Stegostoma tigrinum: one gene and its partner. The protein of the gene in region 2 interacts with the protein of the main gene of each other region in a pairwise test. Links are inferred from orthologs where the notes say so. Each region holds a gene or a part of one and is shown on either strand. Other genes may lie near its edges.

Evidence for each region. The genes of interacting proteins can lie anywhere in the genome.
Region 1: the proteins of oxidative stress-induced growth inhibitor 1-like (region 2) and meis2a interact in binary tests that used the Homo sapiens proteins (3 or more experiments, as listed by UniProt). The two-hybrid records come from large-scale screens. The link is inferred for Stegostoma tigrinum from reciprocal best matches to the Homo sapiens genes OSGIN1 and MEIS2.

What each region holds. Positions count from the first base shown.
Region 1 is NC_081363.1:65,706,430-65,714,128, forward strand, and holds the start of meis2a (homeobox protein Meis2a), read right to left. Parts: upstream 3,091-7,699; 5' UTR 1,623-3,090; coding exon 1,611-1,622; exon of another isoform or gene 1,602-1,610; intron 1,302-1,601; coding exon 1,072-1,301; intron 431-1,071; coding exon 289-430; intron 1-288. UniProt on the Homo sapiens protein: Involved in transcriptional regulation. Binds to HOX or PBX proteins to form dimers, or to a DNA-bound dimer of PBX and HOX proteins and thought to have a role in stabilization of the homeoprotein-DNA complex.
Region 2 is NC_081369.1:3,054,007-3,061,355, reverse strand, and holds the start of oxidative stress-induced growth inhibitor 1-like, read right to left. Parts: upstream 3,008-7,349; 5' UTR 2,883-3,007; intron 908-2,882; exon of another isoform or gene 786-907; intron 1-785. UniProt on the Homo sapiens protein: Monooxygenase catalytic activity. Involved in regulation of cytokinesis; promotes RHOA activity, probably acting locally at the midbody in late cytokinesis.

The DNA of each region.
Region 1 (7,699 bases), on a different chromosome or scaffold from region 2:
ATGCAATGTATTAAGAGTTTGCAAAAGTCTTAAGCGTCTCAGAAGGCAAGGTGTGCTTGCTAAATAAACAGCATGTAGAACACAATTAGTACATAAATGATATGTAATTACTTGTAATTTGACACATTTATTAAAATGCTTGTGTGTTGCACAGATGTACACCTAAAGACGATTTTACAGGTTACATTTAAGGAAAAAACTGCTGCAAGACTGTTATCATAAGTGCTAGTATGTCTTTTTCCCCTCATCATATTGTATCTCAGTTTGTAAAAAAGATGAATTGTAGACCTGCTTTGCGAATACTGCTATGTCCTCGTTAAAGGAGTCAGACGAGCAGACGTCACCGCCTGCTACGCCGGGTTCTCGTGGAGTGCAGGTCGCTAACTCACATTTCTCAAAAACCAGCGCTAACAGAGGAAATAAAGGATGCCTGCAAGACAAGGAGGAGTTCGGTCAATTCCTTTCAGTTCTGAAGCACACGAAACCCTTAAAACTATGTATGATTTCTAGTGGCAATGAAGACAATCTGCCCACTCTTTCTCTCTCTCCGTCCAGAACAGACCACTTCATTCTTGCAATTCACTCAGCAATTGGCAATTTACAACTGAAGAACCGGATTGCTCCTTACAATTTCCCAGGTACCGACTAAAATTGGGATTTGTATTTTAACAATACTACATAGTTATTCACCCCACTAAGTTAAGCAACAAGGCAGCAGCCATTTTGAAGTAAAACATAACTTAACAGAACAGAAACAGTGCAAAAAAAACTTGCAGCTTCCGGTCAGTCCAGAAAGCTATAATCATTAACGTTTGTGGATTGGCAAAAAACAAAGCTTCACTTCCAAACCAAGAGCAAACGAGATCCGACTTCATTCCAAAATAGGGACACAAAGTTCAGAGCCCTGTGCGTGCACACTAAACTTTGCAAAAAAAGAAAACAGCTAGATACTTGCTTCCACTGAACTTGCCAGTTTTATTTGGCTTTCTACTGAATTGGTTATAAACTGCTTTTTTTTAACTCTCTCTCTCCGCGGAGCGTGTCAGTGTTCTTTTATATTTTATTACCTACCCATAAATTGCATCTTTATCCCTCTTTAGGGCATCGTTGACAGCAGAGCCCATGCTTGTGGGCATGACATTAGGATGAGGTGTATGTGGGCCGTAGTGCTGGCTGTGGAGCGGCGGTCCGTGGTTGAGGTGGTGGACTGGAGGGATCGGCCGGGGGGCGTGAGGGTCTCCGTACATGGACGCCGGTACCCCAACTCCGTCCATCCCACCGTAATGAGGAAGTTCATCGTACTGCATCGAAGAAATCAATAGAAGATCAGGAGAGGTGGGGGATGGGGGGAGGGTGGGGGTGAAAGAGAGCGAGAGAGGGGGGGAAAAGGGGAACAGAATCGCGTTAAACAGAAAAAAAAAAGCAGCAGACCTACAAGAAGCACAACACATGCTCGTGCACACTAGAGTTTGCTATCAAACAGATTTTTTCTTTGGTTGCGATTGCTGCTGTTGTACACGGGCCGCCATCATCAGTAGATGAGAGGACTCAGACAGGCCCCACTGATACAGGATTATCCGATAGGTGAGTGTTGCAGATTGAAAACCTACCCTTTGCGCCATCAGTCTGCGCTCCCACACTGTTGGATGTGCCGTCTCTGTAATATCCCCCAGTCCGCTTTAGTTCTGATACTCAACGAGATCCCTTTTTTTTCCAATCCAGTTTCCGACTTCTGCTTTATCCTCCACTATCGCAGTTTAAAGCGGCCCAAGGAAGGAGGGGAACTTTGCCTTTTTTTTCTCTCTCTCTCTCTCTCCCGCTCTCTCTCTCTCTCTCCCTCTTTTTCTTTCCAGAAGAAGCAAAAAAAAATGTCAAGCCAGAGAGAAAAAAATAATTACTGAAGGTTACGATCGGCCCGTCAACAGCCCGCTTGTAACAAAACTGTCGTCTCTCATGGCTTTTTGCCACTCCAGCTGTCAATCAAAGCAGGGTTGTCAAGGTATTGAATGAATGATGATCTGCCGTTGCAACAACTCCGCTGTCTTGGACCGCTATCTCACTGTAAAAAAACAGCGATGAAAAACGTTCACGAGGAGTTAACAGCACACAAAAAAATAAGAGCGAGAAAGTGGGTGGAAAGCAGCTTCGGCTTCTTTCGTAGCTTTTTTTTTGTTGTTTGTTTGAATAAGTGGCTGTCAGTAAGTATTGAGGAGGTGGCAGGTTGGGAGGTTGGTTGGTTACAGAGTGAGTGTGTTGTCAGTAATAATGCGCTGGCAGCGCTGAGCGGCGGCGGCGGGAGAATGACGGAACCCGGAAGTAGTGGTGGTCATAGCCAGTCGTACGCCAAGCTGTCTCTCATATGCAGACTATGCAATCGGACCGCTGCAAGTCATGGGGGGGGGGGGGGAGCCAGAACCGAAATAAAAGCCCCACTGAGAACCCCCTCCCCTTCCCCCAAGTCAGATTGTAAAACATCTCTAAATCAATCAGCATTGTCTTAGCGAGATTCATTATTCCCATGTATGTACAATTTTTTTTTCTGTTTTGTGTGTGTGACAACTGCTTTTAGAAAAAGTTGTTCACATGTTAGGATATTTCAGAACTTCCCACAAAGTAAGGGCTAGAGCCCTTGCTTCAAATCAAGCCCTTTGCAATTCTCAGAAACTATGACTTAAAATAGTGGAAGTGTCCGACTTGCTGTACCTTAACAAATACATAATATGTGAAACTCGTTAACTGGTCACATTCACGACTGACCGATGTGTGTCTTGCAGAGGATTGCTTCGGGAAGGCAACACCGGTTTTATTTGAGTAAGTGACTCCCAAGTTCAACAGGCTTCGAATTATTTCCCCCTTCAGTCATCCATGTCCTCCGCTGTACTTTTGTTTTCCTAGCATTGTTGTGGTTTGCAGGGTAACGCGGAGATATTTGTCGCGGTGACTCCAGATAATGGTGTTCCTAATTGCAGTGTTATTTAGAAAATTAAGTGTGGTCCCTCACCCCCTTGAGCACAAATGAACTTTTCCAACGAAAAAAAAGCTTTGCAGGGAAAGTAATTTTGTGCATCTCGTCCAATCCTTTCGCTGGATCCAAATTCATGCACCCAGCCGTACATCATGGCAGTCAATTATCATAGCTTCATCTGATCATCAATCACAGGGGATGCTAGAAGTTAAGGGGCGGAGCAATGGTCGACCCATCGATTGCAGTAGTTTTGTCTTTCCCCCCCTTCTCGTTCACGGCCCCCTACGCACAAAGGCCGAAACGGTCTATTCCGTTTAATGTTTGGGTTCATCAATAGACATGCAGGCTTTTGTGCGTGTGACATCACATATCGATGGTTTCACAGGGGGGTGGGGGGGGGGGGAAATTGGCAAAATACATTGTCTACGGGATATTTGATTTCCAAAATTAAACATGAATCACGACTTTGTCAAAGCAAGCAGAATCTGTACACTTTTTTTCGCGGACACGGGGATGCAGTAATGCAACTTCAAGAGGTCAATAAAGCAAAAAGAAAAGAGAACGATTAAGAGGATGATGTTGATAGTAATACCCACTGCAATTAAACAGTTTGATTAAACGAGGCATCATAACAACAATGATGTTTGGGAAAACACCCCTCACATAAAAAATAACATAGTGCAGCGGTTGACAAACGCCAGTAGGCATTCCAACATGACGCTGCCTCTGAGTATACCAAGGACTGTTGACAATGTAGGACAGCAGCGAAAATTCGCTCTCAAAATACTTTTTACGCATTGTTTCCCCCTTTAAAAAATGAGAAAGACGTACAGCTTCTGAAGATCCAGCTGCCTTCCGAGACGGTCTTCTAATAAGTATTCTTCTGCTCTACTGTACTGCGACTTGTCCTGCAGCACTGTAAGTACAGCCGCGTCCTGCCATTCAAGTAAGTGTGCTTCACTAATAGGCATTTATTGCCAAACAGTACACAAACGGCAACGTTGCCATGGTTTTGCCTAACCGACCAGCCCCACATTAATGATTGCCGTGTTTTAATGTAACAAGTCAACAAGACAACAGAAGAAAGGTGGGTAGAAATTGCAGCGTTTTCGCAATGCGTGAACCAGGCGAGTTTGAAAACCGAGCCGGCCACGAATTCTCACCTCGTCGGTAACGGCAAGGAATGTCTCTCTGATCGCAGCCCGGCGTTGGAACAAGGCGCTTTGTAAAATCGTGAAAGCTTTCTAGAGCACTAAAGCGGCGAGCTGGTAGCAGCGATGAGCGGGGACTTTCTCAAGTGATAAATAAAAGTAAATGTTGTGTGACAGTCATCGGTGACTATTGAAAATGCATTTGTTCCGACTCATTTTTTGTCAATGGGTTTGACTGCGGTATTGTGCCATTTCCATGATCTGGTAAAGTGTATGGATGTCGGGATATGTTGCACCCCATAGGATTGCGCCGATTAAATATTCTAGCCATATGCATAGGTATTTTCCTTCTAACATGCCCGGCATGTTCTGTTGGTAAGCCCCGAATAATAAGGGACATGTGTTCTATTTGTCGAATTGATGACATTTTATTTTATAACATAAAGCAAAGTACACATTCGGATTTCGTGTGAGTCCAAAAGTTTGAAAATGATCTTCTACGTTACTCGTCAATATTTAATAAAAGCACAAATGACTTGCAAATCGCCATTGACCCTGGACGGCGGTAAGTAAAACACGGTAATAAATAGTGGCTACCTTGTATTTTATCGATAGAAAAACCTATTTTATTATAATAAAGTTTTGTTTTTGTACAATACGAAAGTACTTCAACGTAAAACACTCTTGTGTTTAACAGTTGACTGCAAAACAGTAGAATTCCAAATGCAGATAATGAGAGTCTGGACAGCATTTCTGTACCGTTCTTTTATTTATTTACTGAGTTACCAACTTTGTTCCTGAATATTCATATTTACATAACATACGCATATGATATGTAAGTGCTATTCTCCCTAAACAAATCTTGTTCGATTTCGGTTTTAGAGAACGGTTGCTTTGCTTCACTTAATATGTTATGTATATGCTTTTTTCCAAGTTCACAGATTTCTGTTATCAATACGAGATATCCCGACCTTCTCAGAATCGAATCCCGAAATGCAGCCTTTTATATAACATTTCAGTAGGGATTCGAGTAGCTGCCGTTCAAATAATGCAAATCGGTGTCCGGTTATGGAGTGCATCTCCATCAACAAACAGATAGCAGGGGATAGCCGAAGATTGCTTTAACAGCCGGTAAAATTTCATCTTCTGGTGTCAAATTGGGGTCAACCTGGGGTTAGAGCTATCACTGCTCAGTCAGAGTAGTCCAGCTGTGTTGAGATTCATTAAGAGTTCAGTATCTATTTCAAGAAAAAACAGCACTAAGACAATCAGAGGGCGAAGGAGCCAGTTGTTGTTGGAACTGCAAGTGTACCGACCAAAATGGTAAATGTCTCCAAACTTCCTTGGATTCAGCACGCCTTGTCCCCCCACTCCCTTCAATGTGTGTGTGTGTGTATTTTATCCAACTGCAGCGTTTGAAATATTGATGTGACTACGTTCCGAAGCAAACTCATTTTGTTGAGCGAAGCTCAGCCTCATTACCGCGCTGTGTAATCTGCTCGTGTAGTAAAAAGTGGATTTTTCGTTTTCATCACCAAAAAACAAATACAAGTGAAATAAACCTCTTCGTAGAGTAACTTTTAGTTAAGTTCTATTCAGATGTAGAAAATGACTAGAAACCTCGCAGTATTGCTATATTGAAGGATGAAAGCCGACTAATCTAAAGCGTGCTTACTATTACGAGCATCCATATATAAACTTTTAACGTTACAATTTGTTTCAAATCAAGGTATCAGTTCATTATGGAACGCTGGGAAGTACAATATCTGATACAAAGTCATAACAAGGAAGGAGACAAGAAAGGAAGGCGATAAATATTGGAGACTTGCAGTTACTTTCGCGACCTCGTTAAAAAGAGACGTATTTGAATGTCCTCCGCGTTGACCACAGTTAACGCTCGTTTTGATTTGATTTTGATTGTACTTCAGTCCAAGTTTATGTGTGTGTTGTTTCGGAGCGTGCGTTTTCTTGCCCCCTGGATTGTGAAAGATGTATTCAATTCATCGCTGCAAAAGTTTGAAGTCTCTGCTTGTTCGGGAAATGAGGTAAAAGCAGAGTTGAATCAGTTTGCAGCGTATTTCACCAGCTTTCCAAGAATTCTATATTCTAAACGGGCTCTGTATTGGTTTTACAGGTTGTTTGTTTGTTTTAGAGATCGTGATTTCAAAACCCACCGCCACTCCCCCCAACACACCCCCCCTTCCCAAAACACCCTCCCCCGACAACAAAAAGATAGGAAGGAAGATCGAGGGCGATTATTGGTGAACTTTGTCTGACCCCAGTGTAAATCCAGGCTGAAGGAAGATCTCCCCACTGAGTGGGTCATCCGTTACCTGTAAACCGTCATATATTAAACGCACCAGGTTTTTCTTTCATAGCTTCCCTCAAACTCGCCACTACCCAGAGAGAAAACAGGCGACGTGAACTTTCGGCAGATGTTCTGCCGTGGTCGGCGAGAAGTTCATTGCAAGGCACGTTCTTATAGACAGCCCTTTAGCGCTATCTGGCGGGACTGGCTATAGCAGTCCGATAGCTGATACAAGTATTCCACACCCCTCAATCCACACCCACCCCCCCCCAAAAAAACCTTGCAGCCGCGCGAAGTTCAGTTGCCCAGCGCGACCGGGTCAGTGATGTGGTTTTAAATGAACAGATTAAATTGTACCAATCGAACCTATTTGAAACAAAGCTCGATTTGATAACGCCACGTCCAACACGCTAGTGATCTCATTTCGTTTTCATTATCGAAGGAGTGAACTTTTCAACAGCCGCGCTGCCTGGAAAGGCGAAATGCGTTTGTTTTGCAATTGCTGTCCGTTCACTTGATGGCCGCACAGTTTCGATGTTGTTTTGCCCCTAACGTTTCGAAAGTATTACCTTTTGTTTTGGGATCTAACGGCGATTATTGTTAAATTGTCACAACTGAGTGCCGACGTTTCTTTCCTTTTTAGGTGTATTTTTTTCTCTCTCTCTCTAGAATATATATCAGTTGAATGATTGTTATTTTGACCGCACTCCGGCCCGATTGCACGGGAGGGGGATCATTACACAGGGCTGGGAATGTGGAGGTCGCCAACGAGAACTTCTTAATCGCCAGCGCTGTTGTGGGAATGATAATACCATAACACGTCGCCCACACAAGGCATCTCCCGCACGCGAATTACACATGAAGGCATTTTAGAAAATTATTACCTACTCCGGGATGCGTGCTAATTTAGAAATCAGCTTTTCTTCGCCATATTTAGCTCGATTTCCCCCCTTCATTTGGAACGGCGTTTACAAGCGCTTATTCAGTAATATTTCAAGTAGTGTTCCGTAAGATAACTTATTCCATTTACCCTTCTCAGAAAAAGATGCATTTTATTTTTTCTTAGCAATGCACGTTTCAGAACATTAAATGTATAACGACAAAACAAGAAAAATCAAAACAAGCTGATTTAGGTAGTTATTTTAGATGTTAATAGTCCATGCTCCTCTGCTTCTTAAATACAAACTGGTCATGTTTATAAGTAGTGGAATCATTTAATGAGTGTCATTAAAGCGTGCTTCCATTGCAATTATCCCTGGATTAGATCCACCAAAC
Region 2 (7,349 bases):
ACAAAAGGATACCAACCATATGCAGGCAAATGGGATTAGTTTAGAATAGGTCTGTGCATTGTGGGCGAAAGGGCCTGTTCCTGTACTGTATTGTTCTATGTTCTTAACCAGTGTCTTGTCTCTCATGTGGGGGAGACTCATTGAAGGCCTGATGAATTGTAAACAACCAGAAAATTGGTGGGTTTGAAGATGTAAGGTTAAATTACTCCTTTTAACTCCATCCAGACAACATTCGTAAAGGATGGCGAAGTGAAGGAAGTCAGCGTTGAGACCAATACTGACCTACTCCTTCCATCCACATGTCTCTGCGCAGCAACCAGTTATCAAAGGTAAAACAGAGTGAGGAAAAGAAAAATGGAACTCAGCACTTTGTTTACCAGGATACCTTCTGAGCCACAACAGAGCAGCAGGGAATGAGCTGGGAGATCCCTGGTTGCCAGGAGAACCAGTAATGGGGCTGTACGTCTAACACAAGCTACAAGAGTTTACATCGAGTTGGCTGAGTTTGGGTATGGTGCTCCAGTTGAGGTGCAGACGGCTGAATTGGTGTTTAGGGGGGGGGGGGGGGAGGAGGTGGTGTGGTACATGTTGGAACCTGTGTTAATATAGCGCCCACTGTCTCTACAGTGACTCGGCTCAAGAGAAGACAACGTGAGACCATCCGCCAAACGTAGGCACACGTGATAAATGAGCCCTTTGTGCTGAGGAATGAAAATAAGCAAAAACACTGCGGGGGAGACAGGATAATGACAGCCTAATTTTATGCAATCAAACGTCCAGCTTACCTGTTGGATCAGACACCAGGGAGAAAGCCGTTTTACACGGGAATGAGCTCTGTGAGGATAAAGACTCCCAGCAAACTGCACACTCTCCTGGGTGTTTCCTGATTAAATCAGTGGTTAAAAAGCCAGGGAGGAGCCTGAGCAAGAGGGAAGAAGCTGAGAGAGCGTGACTCAGCACGAACACCCTGGGAGGTCAGGGTGACTTGGCAGATTGAGAGGAAGGATCCAGGTTTGAGAGGGACAAGAGGATCACACACACTGCAGCGTGACCCCTTCACATGTTGACCTCACACTGACAGTGAGAGCGTGCTTACAGACTCAGCCAGATACAGTTTAATGCGAGACACACACTGCCTTTCTCACTCTCAGCGTCTGTGTTTCATATTTAGTGCTTCCCTAAAGTGTCTCTGTCTCTATTTCTGTCTGTAATTTTCTGTTTCTCTCTCTCTCTCTCTGTTTCTCTGTTAATCCCAATTACTCTGCCTTTATTCTACATCTCTATCTCAATCATCTGTGCCTAAGAAAGAAATTCCAATTACATTTCACTGGAGTTCTGTTTCCTTGTAATATCCCTCAGAGATTTGTTTGTGGTCTTTCTTGAATTCTTTGAGAGACTGATATTTCCCTTGGCATTCAGTGACATCCACTCCGTTCTCATTCTCTGGGCCAATGTGAACACGGTTTAAGGTTATTCATAAAATCATTCTAAGATTGCCCCAAAGGCAGGAACTGCCCACAGCCAAGTAATCCCTGGAACACGAGCCTCTGAGGTGGGAGGGAACAATATTTCCAAATTCCTATTTCTGGGCACTGCCGTATGTTGCCAAATAACTGAACAAACCACAGCATGGTACTAGACTCATCCAGAGTTTCAGTACCCGCTGGGGTCGGCAGTGCTGTCTCTCAAACACAACGGATATCAGAAAACCCAGGCCGGTCAATGACTGGGAAGACCCAGCGTTCCAAGAACATGGCATTGCAAAGTCCTGGATGTGAAGGGAAGAGAGAGGGTGTCAATCTGCCCCCTATATGGGATAGAATACAGAGGAAAAAAAAAATCAGATATACCACATTTAGTAAGAGGTGGGATATGAATGTAGTCCCTTTAAAGGGCCCTGGAGAGGGTGAGATGGCTAATGTGGCCCATTTAAGGGGCAGGGTGAACAATACAGCTGATGTGACTCTTTTTGAATGGGGGTAGTGTGAGGGGGAAGCACCCATTTAATACAGAGGACCATGAGTTCATGTAGTCCCAGGAGGACAAGGGTGGGGCCGGTGGAGCACCCCCTGTAGGGGAGAGTGGAGGTGCATGTGGTGCAACTGCCTGTGATCGCTCTCTGAATCAGAAGCTACTGGGTTCAAACCCCACTCCAGACAGCCCTACAATGTGAAGACCAAGCATATGGATTAATAAAGATTGGAGTTCCCGAATCCAGTTGAGGGGTGCTGCTCTCTGAGGGAAGGCAGCCTTAACTGTTTTATATCCTAACAACTGAACTGTGAACACGTCACAGTCTGTTAGACTGTACTAATCGTTGCAGCGTTTGCCAGTGCGGTCAGGAAACAGGACAAAAAAAATCGATACCCAGGGCCAAAAAAAACCTCACTCACCTCCCAGTCCAGTTTACAACAAGCCATGTTTATGTACAGGAAGTGTGTGCTTCCTGCTTCTGAGAGAACGTGGTTCTTTCTAAACCTCGTGTTTCATGGCGGAAAGTCTTTGAACCGAGATCCCCGAGAGGTTTTTTTATATTTAAAAAAATCAATTTCCAAGCACATCTGCTGACTGCATTTGGTAAGAATTGACTGGACGCTACTCCCCAGTTAATCTGCATTTCAACTCCCTGTGATAATCACAGACCATCTACACTTCCGACAGCAACCACGGGGTTAACCTTTCCTTTCAGGCTGTGAGATGATTTTTTTTTACAAAGAAGAGCGGCTCATCTGCACTGAGGGCAAGAGTGGGCGTGATAATGGAGCGATTTGTGTAAACTCAGGGCCTCGATGAGTCTCAGAATTAAATTCAGTTTGGGAAATGCAGATGGCTGGTGTCTCTGTAAATATCCTCTAAAGGAAGAGAAAAGTGACTCTCCTTACCCGCGTTCTGTCCGAGGCTCACACCAACACCACAAAGTGTCACTGAGCTGTGCCCCTGACGCTTCACGGATGGGAGGGCGAGACAGGGTGTGAATACCAGCGATGCCCAGACCTGCAGGACGAACAAGCGCAAGCAGAGAGACAACCAGCACTGAGCGACCCTGTCAATGAGTCATTTTAATGCAAAGGGAAGGGGACAGCTATTTTGGCGTTGTGGGGGGAGGGACAGGAGGGAGTTTGTGGAAGGTGGATTAAAGCGCAGAAAATAACTGCAACCCCCAATGTGCAGCTGCACATTCCTTTCATCTTTATCTCTCTTCCCCACCCCTTTTCTGCCAAACCCTCTTTTTTTGCCTTATCGCTTCCTCCCCATCCCAATCCTCCCCTTCCTCTGTTCTCTCTCCCTCACGTTTTCTCCCAGTCCCAATTTTGTCTCTCTCTTCCCCCCCCGCCCCGGAAAAATCCAGCCACCACGTGACATCAAAAAGCTCAGATTTCAGGGCCACTTAGAGGTGTGCAAACTGAAGACTATGTTTAGTGCATCTGAGCTGGGGGGCAGTTGACCATGAGACATCGGAGCTGGAGAAGGCCTTTCAAACCATCGAGTCTGCGCTGCCAGTCCATGGAATCATGGGCTGATCTGATAATCCTTAATTCCACTCTCCGACCTTTTCCTGATAAGCCTTGATCCCCTTATTGATTAAAAATCAGTCTCAGCCTTGAACATACTTCAAAATCCAACCTGGCGAGCCCACTGTGGGAAAATAATGGCACAACAAGTTCCTTAATGGTGATACCGGTGCTCAGTGGCTGGCACTGCTGCCTCACAGCGTCAGGGTTCAATCCCACCCTTGGGCAACTGTCTGTGTGGAGTTCGCACATTCTCCCTGTGTCTGCGTGGGTTTCCTCCCACAGTCCAAAGATTTGCAGGTTAGGGTGGATTGGCCATGCTAAATTGCCCATAGTGTTCAGGGATGTGTAGATTAGGTAGGTCATAGGGGAATGGGTCTGGGTGGGATGCTGTGAGGGTCGGTGTGGACTTGTTGTGCCTAAGGGCCTGTTTCCACACTGTAGGGATTCTGTGAGCTGTCCACTCATTTAGAAAGCCTTCATCAGGGTGAAGGTGAGAAGATGGTGGGTTGCCCAGGATTACAATCTCCTCTGATTTACCTCTGGATGAGTTTGTTCCCAGGGCTGATAGACAGACAACAGGTGGAATTTGAGTACTGGCCGCTGAATCTGTCTTTTGGCCTGAAGGATCGTTCAGTGTTTGTTTCTTTCCTCTCTGTCAACTTTTCCTCCCTCTGCTCACACCCTGTTGTCTGTAGTTGGGGGAAGCCCTCAATGTAAAATATAGCAATCTCAGTTTTCAATTGGTCCCATTGTCCATGGTACTTGAACACTGCATCCAATTCCAGTCGCCCTGATACAGAAAGGATGTCATTAAACTGGAAAGGGTGCAAAAAAAAATTTACAAGGATGGAGGCGCTAGGTTTAACCGGGATATTTTTCCCTGGAGCGTCGGAGACTGAGTGGTGACCTTGGAGAGTGGTGGAGATAAAGTGAATAAGCATAGATAAGGTGAATGGACAAGGTGTTTTCCTCAGGGTAGGGGAGTCTAAATCATAGGTTTAAGGTGAGAGGGGCAAGATTTAAAAGGGACCTGAGGGGCAACTTTTTCCACACAGAGTATGGTATGTATTTGGAATGCGCTGCAAGTGGAAGTCATAGAGGTGGGTAAATTACAACATTTGAAAGACATTTGTACAGGTACATGGCTGGGAAAGGTTTAGAGGGATATGGGCCAAATGCAGGCAAAAGGGACTAGTTCAGGTTAGGAAACCTTGTGGGCATGGACGACCAAAGGGTCTGTTTCCATGCTGTATGACTCTATAATAAGTGGAAGTTGCTTTTTCCCCCTGGGACACCAAGTCAATTGTAGATTCCTGGGATACAGTCAGCAAACTCAGCACAGAATAAAAATCAAATAAACTGCGGATGCTGTAAATCAGGAACAAAAACAAAGTTCCTATAAAAGCTCAGTAGGTCTGGCAGTAACTGTGAAGAAATAAATCAGAGTTAATGTTTTGGGTCCAGTGACCCTTCCTCAGAACTGATGGTGGCTGGGAAATGTCCGTTTATATGCAGAAAATAGGGAGGTGGGTGGGGTAGAGAGTAAATGATAGGATAGAGCCTAAAGAGAGAGAAGAACAGTTGGACAGACAAACGAGTTGATAAGAATCTGGCTGGGAAGGTGAATAGTTGTTAAGGGGGACTGTTAGTTACTAACGACAGGTGGTGTGTAATGGCAGGCTATGTGGTAACAAGGCCTGGTGTGTTGGGTGGGGGGCTGGGACATGGGAGAGTTTAGGCCCTAATATGATTGAACTCGATTTTGAGTCTGGAAGGCTGTAGGGTGCCCAAGCGGAAAATGAGGTGTTGTTTCTCCAGAGGAAAGTTCCAGTTCTGAGGAAGACTCACTGGACCCAAAACGTTAACTCTGTTTTTCCTTTACAGATGCTGCCAGACCTGCTGAGCTTTTCCAGCAACTTTGTTTTTGTTCCTGATTTACAGTATCTGCAGTTATTTTGGTTTTTATTGTGTGTTGTTTTTCCAGCTTGCATTGAGCTTTGCTAGAACACTGTAGCAAGCCAGAGACAGACATGTTGAACAGGGAACATAATAGTATATTAAAGTGACAGGCAACAGGTAGTTCAGGGTCTCTTTTGCGAGCAGAATGTAGATGGTCTGCGAAGCGGTCATTCAGTCTATGCTTTGTTTTCCCCAATATAGAGGAGACCACATTGTGAGCAGCGAATAAATTCTGGGAAGTGCAGGTGAAGTGTTACTTCACCTGAAAGGTATGTTTGGACCGTGGATACTGGGGAGGGAGGAGGTAAATGGGCAGGTGTTGCACCTTCACCGGTTACAGGGGAATGTGCCGTAGGGCTGAGGGGAGGATTGGGGGTGAAAGAAATGTGGACCAGGACGTCCCAGAGGAAATGGTCCCTGCAGAGGCGGACCAGGGAGGGGAGGGGAATATGTGTCTGGTGGTGGCATCTTGCTGGAGGAGGTGGAAAAGGCACCTGATGGTCTTATGGATCAGCTCAGCACTGAGACTGGGATCTTGTTGCTCTGCCAGGCATAATACACATTGGGCAAGGAGATTGTCCCTCCTAGAGAGTACGGTTATGTTTTAAAATAAATTCTGTGAATAGAAGTTAGTAAAATACAAGCATACGTAAAATCACAAATGATTAATTACAGTTGAATTATTTTAGGATGCTTTGATAATCTATGAATTTTCAAAATTGGAACTGAACCCTCAGTCCATTCAGGTGTTTATCTTCCACGTTGGCCTTCATCCTATTCAGTCATCTTGCTCCAATGTGTTGTCCCTTTTAATCCACTTTCACTCAGCCAGCTAACAATATTCACCAATAAATGGTCTTTGCTGCGATCACTATAACAGAGATCCAAATCCACCATTCTAAATACATTCTCTCCTCTTTACAGGTGATGGCTACTCTCCTTGGTCCTGTTGCAGATCTCATCACATGATCCATCTCCTTACTCTATAGGATGACTGAAATGTCAATCACCAGGGTGTTCCACCCTTCACCCAACCAGTTGAAGCCAATGTATTTTTCACAACCTGATTGGACAACTTAGCTGTCAGTCAAACCGCCCCTTTCCCCTGTCAACTTCAGAGCTAAGAAACCAATAAGTTCAAAAACCTGTTATTCATTCAGAAACCTGTTATGTTTGAATTGTGCTGGAAATTTATTTTCCTGGGCTGTTTCCAGCTGTGTCCTGGAGATTAATCTTAAATTCCTGGTAACTCAAGTCAGTCCTGGAGGGTAGAGAATTCTACTCTGTCCTGAACCTCTTCTATTCATTCGAAAATTCTTGTATATTCCAGTGAGCAGCCAGTAACTGGAAATCTCTGTCTAGAGAAAGATGCAATGGTTTTTGTCAAGGTTCATCCTGAGCAGCTCCATGATGCGGGACTCTGTGTCATGGAGTCTGTTCCCAGAACACACACCCAGGCAAAAATTGACTGCGCCTGGAGGACCACCAACTTGGTAAAAGATGCTCTTTAGTCTGCCCGAAACTTGTTGGTCTTCCTGAGCAAGGAGTTGATCTCGACAGAGTGTTGCAGGCTGGCACATTCCAAGATCCAGGACCACGTACTGAGGGACAAACTAAAGCTTGGAGCAGCTGTCTCAAAGGTGCAGTGAGGAAAGGCCCACCTTCTATGGTCTTTCTGCCAAAGTTAAACGGGAGTCCATTCAGTAATCAAAACTTCCCAACTCCCCTCCACCAAGTGCCTCAAGTATATGCAAATATAATCTTGTACAAGTAAGAAATGCTTTGGGTATTTTTTAGATTAGATTAGATTCCCTACAGTGTGGAAACAGGCCCTTTGGCCCAACAAGTCCAAAGGCCCCTTGAAGCATCCCACCC